Callithrix jacchus: one gene and its partners. The protein of the gene in region 3 binds, or shares a complex with, the protein of the main gene of each other region. Links are inferred from orthologs where the notes say so. Each region holds a gene or a part of one and is shown on either strand. Other genes may lie near its edges.

Evidence for each region.
Region 1: GEMIN4 (region 3) and GEMIN2 share a complex: the UniProt entries of both Homo sapiens proteins name them as parts of the SMN-Sm complex. The link is inferred for Callithrix jacchus from reciprocal best matches to the Homo sapiens genes GEMIN4 and GEMIN2.
Region 2: GEMIN4 (region 3) and STRAP share a complex: the UniProt entries of both Homo sapiens proteins name them as parts of the SMN-Sm complex. The link is inferred for Callithrix jacchus from reciprocal best matches to the Homo sapiens genes GEMIN4 and STRAP.

Annotation. Positions count from the first base shown.
Region 1 is NC_133509.1:73,786,585-73,790,232, reverse strand, and holds part of GEMIN2 (gem-associated protein 2), read right to left. Parts: intron 2,058-3,648; coding exon 1,944-2,057; intron 1-1,943. UniProt on the Homo sapiens protein: The SMN complex catalyzes the assembly of small nuclear ribonucleoproteins (snRNPs), the building blocks of the spliceosome, and thereby plays an important role in the splicing of cellular pre-mRNAs.
Region 2 is NC_133510.1:7,410,981-7,414,628, reverse strand, and holds part of STRAP (serine-threonine kinase receptor-associated protein), read left to right. Parts: intron 1-1,638; coding exon 1,639-1,775; intron 1,776-3,648. UniProt on the Homo sapiens protein: The SMN complex catalyzes the assembly of small nuclear ribonucleoproteins (snRNPs), the building blocks of the spliceosome, and thereby plays an important role in the splicing of cellular pre-mRNAs.
Region 3 is NC_133506.1:63,629,978-63,634,348, reverse strand, and holds the start of GEMIN4 (gem-associated protein 4), read right to left. Parts: upstream 2,822-4,371; coding exon 2,359-2,821; exon of another isoform or gene 896-2,358; coding exon of another isoform or gene 763-895; exon of another isoform or gene 1-762. Other genes in the region: uncharacterized protein LOC118153659, read left to right, coding at 2,820-3,027, 3,287-3,405; diazepam-binding inhibitor-like 5, read left to right, coding at 3,482-3,745. UniProt on the Homo sapiens protein: The SMN complex catalyzes the assembly of small nuclear ribonucleoproteins (snRNPs), the building blocks of the spliceosome, and thereby plays an important role in the splicing of cellular pre-mRNAs.

The DNA of each region.
Region 1 (3,648 bases), on a different chromosome or scaffold from region 3:
CAAAATTTTCAGCTAAAGCTAACATTCTCTTTTTCTTTAAAATTAATTTATTATTATTTTTTTATTTTTTAAGATGGGGTTTCACCATGATGGCCAGGCTAGTCTTGAACACCTGACCTCAGGTGATCCACCCACCTTTGCCTCCCAAAGTGCTACAATTACAGGCTTGAGCCACCGTGCCCAGCCTAAAGCTAACATTCTCAAGAATTAAGGACATTTCAATTAAAATGACATTTTAAAAATCTAATTTGATTCACATTTTAAAAGTGTACTTTGGAGTCTGAGGCTGTAATTCCTAATTATGAAAATACCATTGATTTGTGAGAAACTTAAGAGGATATACATTAACTCTTAAGGGTTTTTTTAAAATTTTAACATGGTATATTTTACTTGCCTGTATTCTCTGAAAATAAGCTAAATAAGGAAGTTTTAATTCTTTATTAAATTAAAAATTATTTTTGGTCAGCCATAATGGCTCATGCCTGTAATCCCAGCAGAAGGACTGCTTGAGCCCAGGAGTTCCAGGCCAACCTGGGCAAAATGGCAAAAACGTATCTCTAAAAAAAATTTATAAAAAATTTTATAAAAAATTAAAAATGTTTATATTAGTAAACTTATCTCTACAAAAAATTAAAAAATTAGCCAGGTGTGGTGGTGCCTGCTGTCCCTGCTATGTAGAGGGCTGATGTGGGAGGATTGCTTGAGCCCAGGAGGTTGAAGCTGTAATGAGCTATGACCTATACCACTGCACTATAGCACAGATGACAGAAGAAGACCCTGTCTCATCAAATATATATATATAAAGAAAACCATTTTTGAAATGTAACATATATTAAGGATATCATCCAAAAGATCAATTGGTTATATAGAAACAGTACCAAATTACCTTCCCTAAGATTGAGTCTATTTACACTCCTGTACCATGTGTAAGAAAGAGTGCCTGTTTTCCCAGCTCTTGTTAATATGGTGTATCAAACTTTCTTTGCCAATACGTTACCTGAAAAATAGCACCTTGGCATGGTTAGGTTATGCTTCTATTACAAGTGATTTTTGGCATCTTGTCATATAAGAATAATTTTATTTCCTTTCTGTGAGGTATCTACATCCTTTGCCTGTTTTTTCTTGGGCAGGGGAGGAGTGATTTTTGTTTTTTTTATTGATACTTGGAGCTCTTTCAATCTTTGGGAAAAATTAGTATTAAATGGGAAAAACACAATGTGGCATCATATAGCAAATAATAAATACCTGTTGAACTGAAGAGAACAACATGATATAGAGAGTAAGCACTAATGCAGAGGCACACACTGGATTCTAAAGGAACACCTGCAAACTTGGGGACAGGCGAATCCTAAAGGACAAGGAGTTGGCTCCATAACTTATGATTAAAGCCATGTGAATTTTAAACATATCCTCAACATTTCATCTTCAAATTATGTGATTTACTTTATTTTTTACAAGCCCATGAAGTGATAAATGTGATTATGTGTTTTAAAGCGCCTAATTGTGTCGTTTTCCATTTTTTTCATGGCTACTCATAACATTGTTTGCCCAATGCCTCATCATTTTAAAAAAACCTGAATCTTATCCAACTCATAAAATGATATATAGCCAAATATAAGGGATATGAAGTGAACCTAAAAAAAGTCACGGCTGTTTTGTTAGGAGGAAGAGCTATTAAACTAAGTCTGGGTTGGCAAACATTTTCTCTCAAGAGTCAGACAGCAAATATTTTAGGCTTTGCAGGCCACATACAGTCTCAGTCACATATTATTGGTTTCTTTTTTACAACTCTTTAAAAACCTAATAACCATCCATAGCTCATGGGATATATAAAGAAGGCCAAGGACTGGACTTGGCCCAGGATGTAGTTTGCTGACCCCTTATATTAAGTGATGCACCAAAATTAAAATGCTTTTTGTTCTGTTTATTGACATAGCCCTTACTTGTACATAATCTATTCCAGGACTTTCATTTGTGGCTGGTCCAACAGCACCGTCAGCACATAACTTCTCACCCAGACAAAATTTCTTCCAGCCTTCTTCATCTTCAGATTTTGGCTGAAAGAAAAAAAAGATAAAAACAAAAACAGATTTATTCCTGTGTATTAATTTTTACACAGAACAGTAAACAAAATAAGTTAGAGTCTCCCATATTCCCATTACTTCAACCCAAAGATAGGGTGCCAGTTACGGGGAGAATCTCTGTCCCCAAAATTTGTAGGGTTTTAAAACCCTAACCTCCAGTACCTCAGTATGTGACCGTATTTGGAGACAGAGCTTTTAAATAAGTGATTAATTTAAATTGAGACCATTAGGGTCAGCCCTAATCCAATCTTACTAGTGTCCTTGTAAGAGGAAATGTGAACTCACAAAGAGAGAACCAGGGACTCTCACACACACAGAAAAGAGGAGAAGGTGGCCATATGCAAGCCATGGAAAAAGCCTTAGAAGATACCAACCTTAGGTTGGGCATGGTGGTTCATGCCTGTAATCCCAATACTTTGGGAAGCTAACGTGGGCAGATCACCTGAGGTCAGGAGTTTGAGACTAGCCTGGCCAACATGGTGAAACCCTACCTTTTTTTGGTACTAAAATTACAAAAAAAAATGAGCTGAGCATGGTGGCGCGCACCTGTAATCCCAGCTACTCGGAGGCTGGGGCAAGAGAATCGCTTTAACCCAGGAGGTGGAGGCTGAAGTCAGCTGAGATCATGTCATTGCACTCCAGCCTCGGCAACAAAAGTGAAACTCTGTCAAAAAAAAAAAAAAAAAAAGAAGAAGAAGAAGAGACCAAACTTGCTGCCACCTTGTTCTTGGACTTTCAACCTTCAAGACTGTGAGAAAATAAATTTCTGTTGTTTAAGCCACCTAGTCTGTTACGGCAGCCCTGGCAAACATATTGCCTAAGTGGCTATACAATATGTGGGACATGTTGTTTTTTCTTATTTTATTATTATATTTTTTGAGTCAGGGTCTTCCTCTGTCACCTAGGTTGGAGTGCAAAGGTATGATTACAGTTCATGGCAGCCTGAATCTCCCAAGCTCAAGCAATTTTGCCACCTCAGCCTCTTGGGTAGCTGAGATTACAGGCACGTACCACCACGCCTGGCTAATTTTTAAATTTTTTTGCAGAGATAGTTGTCTCAACTATGTTGACCAGGCTGGTCTCAAACTCCTGGCCTCAAGCAATTCTTCTGCTTTGGCTTCCCAAAGTGCTGGGATACAAGTGTGAGCCACTGTGCCCAGCTAAGATGTGTTTAGTTTGGACCAGACTAATGGACACTGACAGATAAGGGTGTGTCCAAAAGAGAATGATAAAGACAGAAACAAGTACGGGGGAAAAAATGCACCAAGAATGCTTAATGGAATGAAGGATGTTTATCTCATATACAGAGACATGATTACATATTTGACATGTTTGAAGGGCTGTCCAATCCAAGAAGAAACAGATCTACTCTCTGCTGCCAGACAGAAAAAGCAGGACTAGTTGGGAGAAGCATTCAGCTCAATATAATCTCCTTAACAAAACAACTTTTATTTGTACCTATCACCTTGCACATTACTCTGCATTGGTACATTCCCCCCTCCCCGGGAATAAATAGCTTTCATTAAATCCTCAGCATGGATCACCTGAGGTCAGGAGTTCGAGA
Region 2 (3,648 bases), on a different chromosome or scaffold from region 3:
CTATTTATTTTTGCCTTGAAATTTTAGAGAAGGAATAATCTTATTTCTATTCCTATGTGCAGACTTAATTATTTTTTTAAAGAGATTCAAATTTTGCAACTTTAAATGTAGTAAATACTCTTGTAGAAAGACTGGACGATATAACAATTGAAAAAAATGTACTCACAATATTATAACCATAGGTGCAAGAATGTTAATGGTAGCTATATTTTCTGCTAGTCTTTTTTTCTATGTTATGTATGTGGGTATACAGTATTTGTGTGTTTTTCTTTAATTACTAGGACCATAATAAATGTCATTTTGATTTTTTAATTTAAAAATATTATTAGCTATTTAAAACTTCTGAGAAAACATTTTTAGTTGATACACTATATTGCATTATAGGTTGTCTTAAATTATGCGTTAGTTTCCCTATTTTAGTACTGTGGTGAATGCCCTGGTACATCTCTGAGTGTTTCTTCACAGGAGATAGGATCCTGTAAGTAGAATTATCAGTTCAAAGGGTAGAAATGGGTTTAAAGTTCTTAGTTACACATGACACTTAATTGATTTCCGTAAAGATTATACCACATTACACTTTGATTGGTATTTGACCAGTGTCTTAACCGTGTGTTTAAGGGGCTACTTGCAGAGTTAAACTTCACTAAACTGGGAGAAGGAAAGAAAAGGCAGTAAAACTGGAGGAGAGCAATTAAGAATGTCAAGGAGTTTGTACACATAGAGTGAACTGATAATAGTAGAATACTGTTGCCTGGAGCTGTCAATTGGTATATTAATGCTGTTCATTCACTTCTGCAGTTGGACAAATCCCATGTTGGTGGCAGAAGTTTTCTGGCACATTGAATATTCCAGCATTTGAGCCAGACCTCGTTATGTAGTGATCCTGCTTAAGTCATGACTAACTTTAATTATCGTGCTTTAAAGTATATGATGATGGGAAACATTTAGGAGCTGGGTTACTATAATGCTTTGTATTGGAGGCCTTTCGTGAGTTTTAGGGTTAAACTGAAAAAGAGCTAATGTCCAGACTGTAATTAATTTTAAGATGAAGCTATTATTGTGCATTGATTTTTGTTATGTAACTAGAGCCCCAAATTTTGTTAGTTTTTTATTGGCTTATAGTAAAAACTTTTTAGCAGTTTAAATTTTATGACACTGAAAGTTTATCTTGCTGAAGAGCTTAAACCCTAAGCAGTTGATAATAATATATAAATAATCCTCTATATTAATTCATTATCTACTGTGAAAACGTTTTCTACTTACAAAGATAATATGTGCTTGTAGAAAAACGAAACAATATAGGTGAAATTTATTTAAAAGCAAAAAGCCCAATGTATTACTCATACTGTTTTAATTAGCCAGCACTCATTTCCAAGAAGACGTTCACTGCATAAACTGGGTATCTCTCCTTCAAAATGTCTTTGTATTCCTGAGATGAGCTCCACTTGGGCATAGTATACATCTGAATTTTTGTTTTGCTAATAGAGCTTTTTTATATCAGTGTTTATGTTTGAGTAAATGTATATTTAATTGTTCCTTGGATTTCAGAATTTAAGAATCGTTTAAATAACTCATTATTTTCTCGTATTATTTATACAATATTCAAGATTTGTAAATACGACTTAATTTTTTTTTCAGTTTGGACCCAATTAAATCCTTTGAAGCTCCTGCAACCATCAATTCTGCCTCTCTTCATCCTGAGAAAGAATTTCTTGTTGCAGGTGGTGAAGATTTTAAACTTTATAAGTATGATTATAATAGTGGAGAAGAATTAGGTGAGTTGTTCTCTGTGTCCTCCCTTACAGTGATGTGATGACCTTTATCATATGTTAAGTTCCAGTAATTAACACCTCATTTATATAACATGCTGAAAGCCAGTTTTCAGCCAACTTAATGCTTGGTGCTTATAAGTGAAAAAGTAAAGGAATTTTAACCATTTGGGTTAGATGCTTTTATCTATCTGTAAACAAAGTATGCAGAAATTTGTCCTTCTAACTGAAGTTCATCATTATGCTGATATTATGCATTATAGTACCATGATTTTTAGGCTTTCTTGGCTGGGAGGGAGGGGGGAATCTTATGTCAAATCGCATGTTAAACAGATGCAAGGAGATCCACTGTTTCTGAGGTATGTTGTTGGTATGTAACCCCGTCTACTTGGCCCATCTTCCTTTTGGCCAACTTAGGAATCCCTAAGACTCTATAAAGAACAGTGTGTGGGGGAAAAACCACTATAGCATATTGCAGGGATACCTTTAGGAATCTGAATTGGAGAGTTATTTTTCTGATTTTTATTTATTTTATTCTATTTTGGGGTTCAGTTTTGCTTTCATTTTTATAGTAGTCCTTTGTAAGGGGAAAGAAAAGGCCTGCGGATTAGTTTGAAGTTAACAGATATTTATCTGATGGACCAGATATTTCACATAGTTAGTTACATGTGGTTCTCAGTGTCTACTTTTAGCCTTCCCAGATAGTTTTTGCTTTTAATTAAGAAATATATTTAGCTTTTCTAAATATGTGTTTTTGTCTATAAGCTGTCACTTCTTGTTCTTATCTGTTTCTAGCTGTCCTGCTTTACCACTCAAAGAACTGAGCTTGCTAGAATTATACACAAAGAACAAAAGACAATTTTTTGTGTTTTGTTTCTTGGGGAACATTGACTTGTCTGGGTTGCACAAATGGAACCTTGGTGATGGACCGTGTGGAATCTATTTTAATTGCTTACAGTTCAGCTTTTATTGCTTGAATACGAGTGACTTATAAATAAGATATTCTTTTCTGTTACTTTTATTTAATGCCGGTTTTCAAAGCTTTAGAATGTTTTGGTTCCGTATTTTATTCTTTTTCAAGATGAGAAAACTAAATTATTATTTGCCTGAGATCTGAAGTCACAGTGAATACCAGACCTGCCCAACCTTTTTCTTTCCAAAACCCGTGTTCTTTCTACTCTTGCAACTTTTCTATTCTCTGGTTGGACAGAGATCGGAGACCGAATAGGAACGTTGGTCCAGTAAGGAGCTTTGAGAACTGGTTAGGTGATGAGGCATTAGGAAGTAAATGAGAAAGGTTCATACATAAAGGTACTACTTGAATATAACATCGCTCCTAATGTGTACATTTTCTCGTTAGGTTCCATAGATTAAAATATTTATGGATCAGTGTTGATCCTGTATCTCACCTTTCTGTGTGACAGTGGACTGTAGATAGCCTGGTAGGAAATCAAGAGGCAAAGTGTGTGAACGAGCTCCATCTGGTGGCTCTCCAGAGTCATGATAAAAATTGGTTTTCTGAGAAATAGGCAGTTAGTTTAGGAAATTGGAGATTGAACTATAAGATTTAAATCTACTTCCTATAGAATGTATAGGGTGTTCATTTGTCTCTTTTTCTCCATTCTTAATGAGACATGAAGCCTCATTTGCTTTTTTAAAGAGACACTGCAACTAGAATGTGTGCTAGATTTGGAAAGGAGTAATCTTACAGAGAAATGGTCAATGATGTACCACTTTTGTGATGAGAAATTATTTTTAATTAAGTAAAGTTTTTAATGTTTGTACTTAAGAATTTTTCATCTCCCCAGAAACACAGACAGTATTTTTTTTTTTTTTACCATATTAATATTTAACCTAATAGTTAAAAATATCTAATAGC
Region 3 (4,371 bases):
GTTTGAGAAGAGACAAGCTTGATTTTGGCTATCAAGGCACAGATGTTCTCCAGCAGTGGAAATGCCCCATGCAAGTTGAAGAGAAAAGCCAGCTGGGAAATGTGATTCTGGATTTTGGCTATCGAGGAGATGTCCTTCAGCAGTTGCAATGCCGGGTGGAAGTTCAGGGGGTAAGTCAGCTGGGAAATGTGACTCTGAGAGGCATGTGCCCAGAAGGGGATCACCGGAACCAAGAGAGAATGAGATCCCTCAGGAAAAGTAAAAAGAACAAGCTGGGCTGCTGAGGGCAAACCCTTCAGCAAAGGATGGGCCAGAGGAGGATGTGGGGAGAGAGGTTCAGAAATAGCACGAGGACAGTACAAACGACAGAGCTATTGAGCATGTACCACAGGACATGACAGCTGAGTTTCTCATGACAGATGAAGGGGGAAGAGTGATAATCACACAGCCACAGGGTAATGAGGACAGCCACAATCATGCAGCCACAGAGTAACAGCACAGCAGCAATCACACAGCCACAGGGTAATGGGCACAGCTGCAATCACACATTCACAGGGTAATGGGCACAGCCACAGAGTGACGGCACAACAGCAATCACAGCCACAGGGTAATGGGCATAGCAGCCATCACACAGACACAGGGTAACGGCACAGCAGCCATCACACAGCCATAGCGTAATGAGCACTGAAGCAATCACATGGCCACAGGTAATGGGCACAGAAGCAATCAGACAAGCCCTGCCTTCGCCCTTCATAACCTTGCCTTGGGAGCAGGCTTCAAACATTGTTCTACCTTTCAGGGAAACAGTCCACCCCACAGCTCCTTCCAAAGACAAGCTACTCATGGCCCAGGCTCTGTGGGAGAAACCAGGGAGTAGATACAGAAAATACTTCATTAAATTAAGTCCTTCCTGCAGAGAAGGAATAACTGACAGACTTACATCTTGGGATGTTTAATCAAACATAGGTTTGATTCCTAGATCAGCCATTTAAAAGTAATGTGATTCTGGCCAGGGGTGCAGTGGCTAGCACTTCTAATCCCAGCTACTTGGGGGGCTGAGGCAGGTGGATCCCTGAGGTCAGGAGTTCAAAACTAGCTAAGGTAACATAGTGAGACCCCCCCAGACCCCTAAAAAAAGGGGGGTGGGTAAGGGATGTGATCATGGTCAGATTGCTTCTCCAAGCCTTCCTTCTGCAGCTTTGGGGATAATACAGACTTCTTGTTACGACTCTGAGGATTATATGATGCATACCAGTCAAGCCCCTGGTAGTGGGTTAGTACTGCTATCTCCTGACCCCATCTCCTGGAGACGCTGTGATGGATAAATGTGATACAGCTACACTAAGAATCAGGTTACAGAGCCTGATCAGGGCTCAGTCAATGTTGGTTTCCCCAAACCTTCTCATCATTGGCAGGATCAAAACCCTGTCACTGTTCTTTGCCTGCCCCAGCTCAGAAACATCAAAGGACATAGGTTTTTATCAGGTATGTTTCCTTTGGCCCAGGAAGTAAAACGAGGGTACAAGCATTGCTCACTTTTCCTCACTTCTGAGTCCTCTCCTTTTCCCAGGATCGGGACAATGCTCACCATTCCTCACTCCCTAGTCTTCTCCCTTTCCCAGGATAGACACTGCTCACTATTCCCCACTCCTGAGTCCTCTCCCTTTTCTAGGACCAAGAGATGCTTCTTCCTCAGTCTCTCATGCCCCTGAGAGCTCAGTCTCCATTTTACAGGCCAGACATCAGCAGAGATAACACGGATTCCAGGAGACTAAGGACTGTCTTGCCCTTGCCACCATGTGTGGGAGCAGCCACAGGCCCAGCGCTCAGCACTCCCATGTAACCCATTTGCGGAGAAAATCCACCTCAGCTCACAGTGGCTGAGGCCGAGGCTGCAGAGGGATCTCGCTAGGGTTACCGTCAGGAGGCTCGCCCAAACCCCAAAATGCGGCCCCCCCTAGCGCTGCAAATTTAATTTTACTGCGTTATCAGCTTCTTTGGGCCAATGTCTGGCCATCCACGCGCGCCTTCCAAACGCAGGCAGTCCGCCGCATTTGCAGCAGTAGCGCCAGGGCAGTGACGGCTGGAAAACCCGCCGGCGCTCGGTCAGGAACGGCGCCCAGCGCGCGCCAGAGCCAAGAGCTAGGGCTACCGGGTGGTTCCGCGCTCACCGCGCCAGCCCCGCGCCGGGTCACATGCGAGACCTCACGCATCACGACCACCTTGACAACGCCGTTCCCGCTCAAGGCCCGAACACGAAGCTGCAGAAACGCTTTTCTCAGGGTGCCCGGACGCCATTCCGCTCCCGAGAGCTGGTGCCGAAGCGCCGCGGCCCCAGCTCTCCGGACGCCCGCCCACCTGCTCCGTGTTCCGGGCCTGGCCCCGACCACTCCGGTTCCGAGGCGCGCAGCCGCCCCGGCAACTCTGCGCGGGACCTGGACGCCCGCGGCCTCCGTGGAGAGTCGCGCAGCCCTCGGGGGCAGACGCACCGTCCCCCTCCCGCTCCGCCGAGACGAAGCCGGACGACAGGAGACACGCGCCTTTCAGGAGCGCGGCAGTCCGGGCGCTGAAGGAGCCGCGCTTCCATAGCACGTGCGCCGGCCCAGAGGGTTCCACCCTCACTCCGCGGCGCGACTCCCGAGGCCGGGCCCGGGTCCCCAGCCAAAGCCACCCGGAACCCCAGACCCGCCCCGACGCGGAGGACGTTCCGCCTGGGCCCATCAGTGCGCGCAGCGGGAGGAGACGCGCCAGGGAGCACCGCCCTGCTGACGCGTGGAGGGACGCAGCCCGGGCAGGGAGCGCGGCACCCACCTAGGTCCATGGTAGCGACGCGGGCGGTTGCGCGGGGTTGGCTCTCCCTCTCAGAGAACGCGGGCGCGGCGACGAACGCACGGCACAATGGGCGGCGCAGGCGCCACGGCGGCCGTGCTCAGTCCCCGCCCATAGCCCCCCGCGCAAGCGCAGTCCTCACGGAGGAGCGCGCAGAGCCACAGCACCGCCTCCTCGCAGAGGCCTCCCGTCCGTCAGGTATCGGGCGTTGCTCCCGGGCCTGCCTCCGGGTCCCAGTGCGTCCGGCTTGAGCCCCGGCTCCGCATTCACCCTCATCCGGTGACCCCGGGCGCGTCCCGCACACTGTCCGCCCCCACCCAGCGCGGCCTCCCCACGCGCGGCTTCCTCCCGCCCAGCTCGTCCTACGCTCGCACTCTGTGCGCGCCGCTGCCGCGCCGCCCCCTTGGGACGGCCGCGTTTGGGACCGGAGGCGCTTCTCACGTCTGCTCCTCCACAGAAACATCGTGGACAGACCCAGACACTGGCTCCCGGGCCTGCAGTCGCGGAGAAGAAAATACAGACTCTGCGTGTTCTTCCACGCGCCGCCCGTCCCCTGCCCCCGAGTTGGAGGTCTGACGCCGGCCTTTTTACCTCCCCACCTCCGGCCTCCAGCACCCGGATCGCCCGGAAAGGCCCGGCCGCCTCCCGCCCCATGTGCCAAGTGGAGTTCGAGCTGGCGCGCACCGCCCTCAAGCAGCTGAAGGGCCCCCTGAGCGACCAGGACAAGCTGCTGCTCTACGGCTGGTACAAGCAGGCCACCCGGGGCGACTGCCACCTCCCCGCGCCTCCCGCCTCTGACCTGAAAGCCAAGGCCAAGTGGGAGGCGTGGACTGCGAACCAAGGGCTGTCCAGGATGGACGCCATGAGGGCCTACGTGGCCAAAGTGGAGGAGCTGACCAGGAAGGAGGCTGGCTGAGGGCTCCTCGGAATGGAGTGGCTCCCTAGACCTTGATGGCTGAAATGGAGAGTAACCGGGTTAGCTGAAACACCAATAAATCACTGACACTGCACGAGAGTGACTGACTGCTGTGGAAAAAGAAACTCGTTGACTGGGTGCTGGGGAGGCGTCCAAATACACAGACCGCAAAAACGGTGTGGCTTTGGGTGGCGTTCCCAGCCTTCCTATTGCTAGAGCGTACTGGGAGGGATGGTGTGCCGTGGAAATGCCCACGATCTGAGGTCAGCGAGACCCTTCTCCACTGATGGCCTCTGGGGAGGCTGAGGCCCAGCCCCTTACCTCTTCAAGAGTGATTAATGAACACCCAACACTACAGAGGGGAAAGGGACTCTGTCCTAAACACCGAAACCCCCACTGGAACACAGGGCCTAGGAAGTTTATGTTCTAGGTAGACCACACTTTCCCCGATGATAATGTGGTGAGGCAACTGAGACTTCAGAAAACAGCAGCTGAGAAACAACAGAGCCGATGGTGTCAAAATCCCAGGCCCAGAAAGGGTCACCGAAGGCCTTGCAACCGAAGTGTTGCAGGACTACTCTGTACTTAACCCTGGTTTCTGCTTAGGGGATGTCTGTGGGATTTCC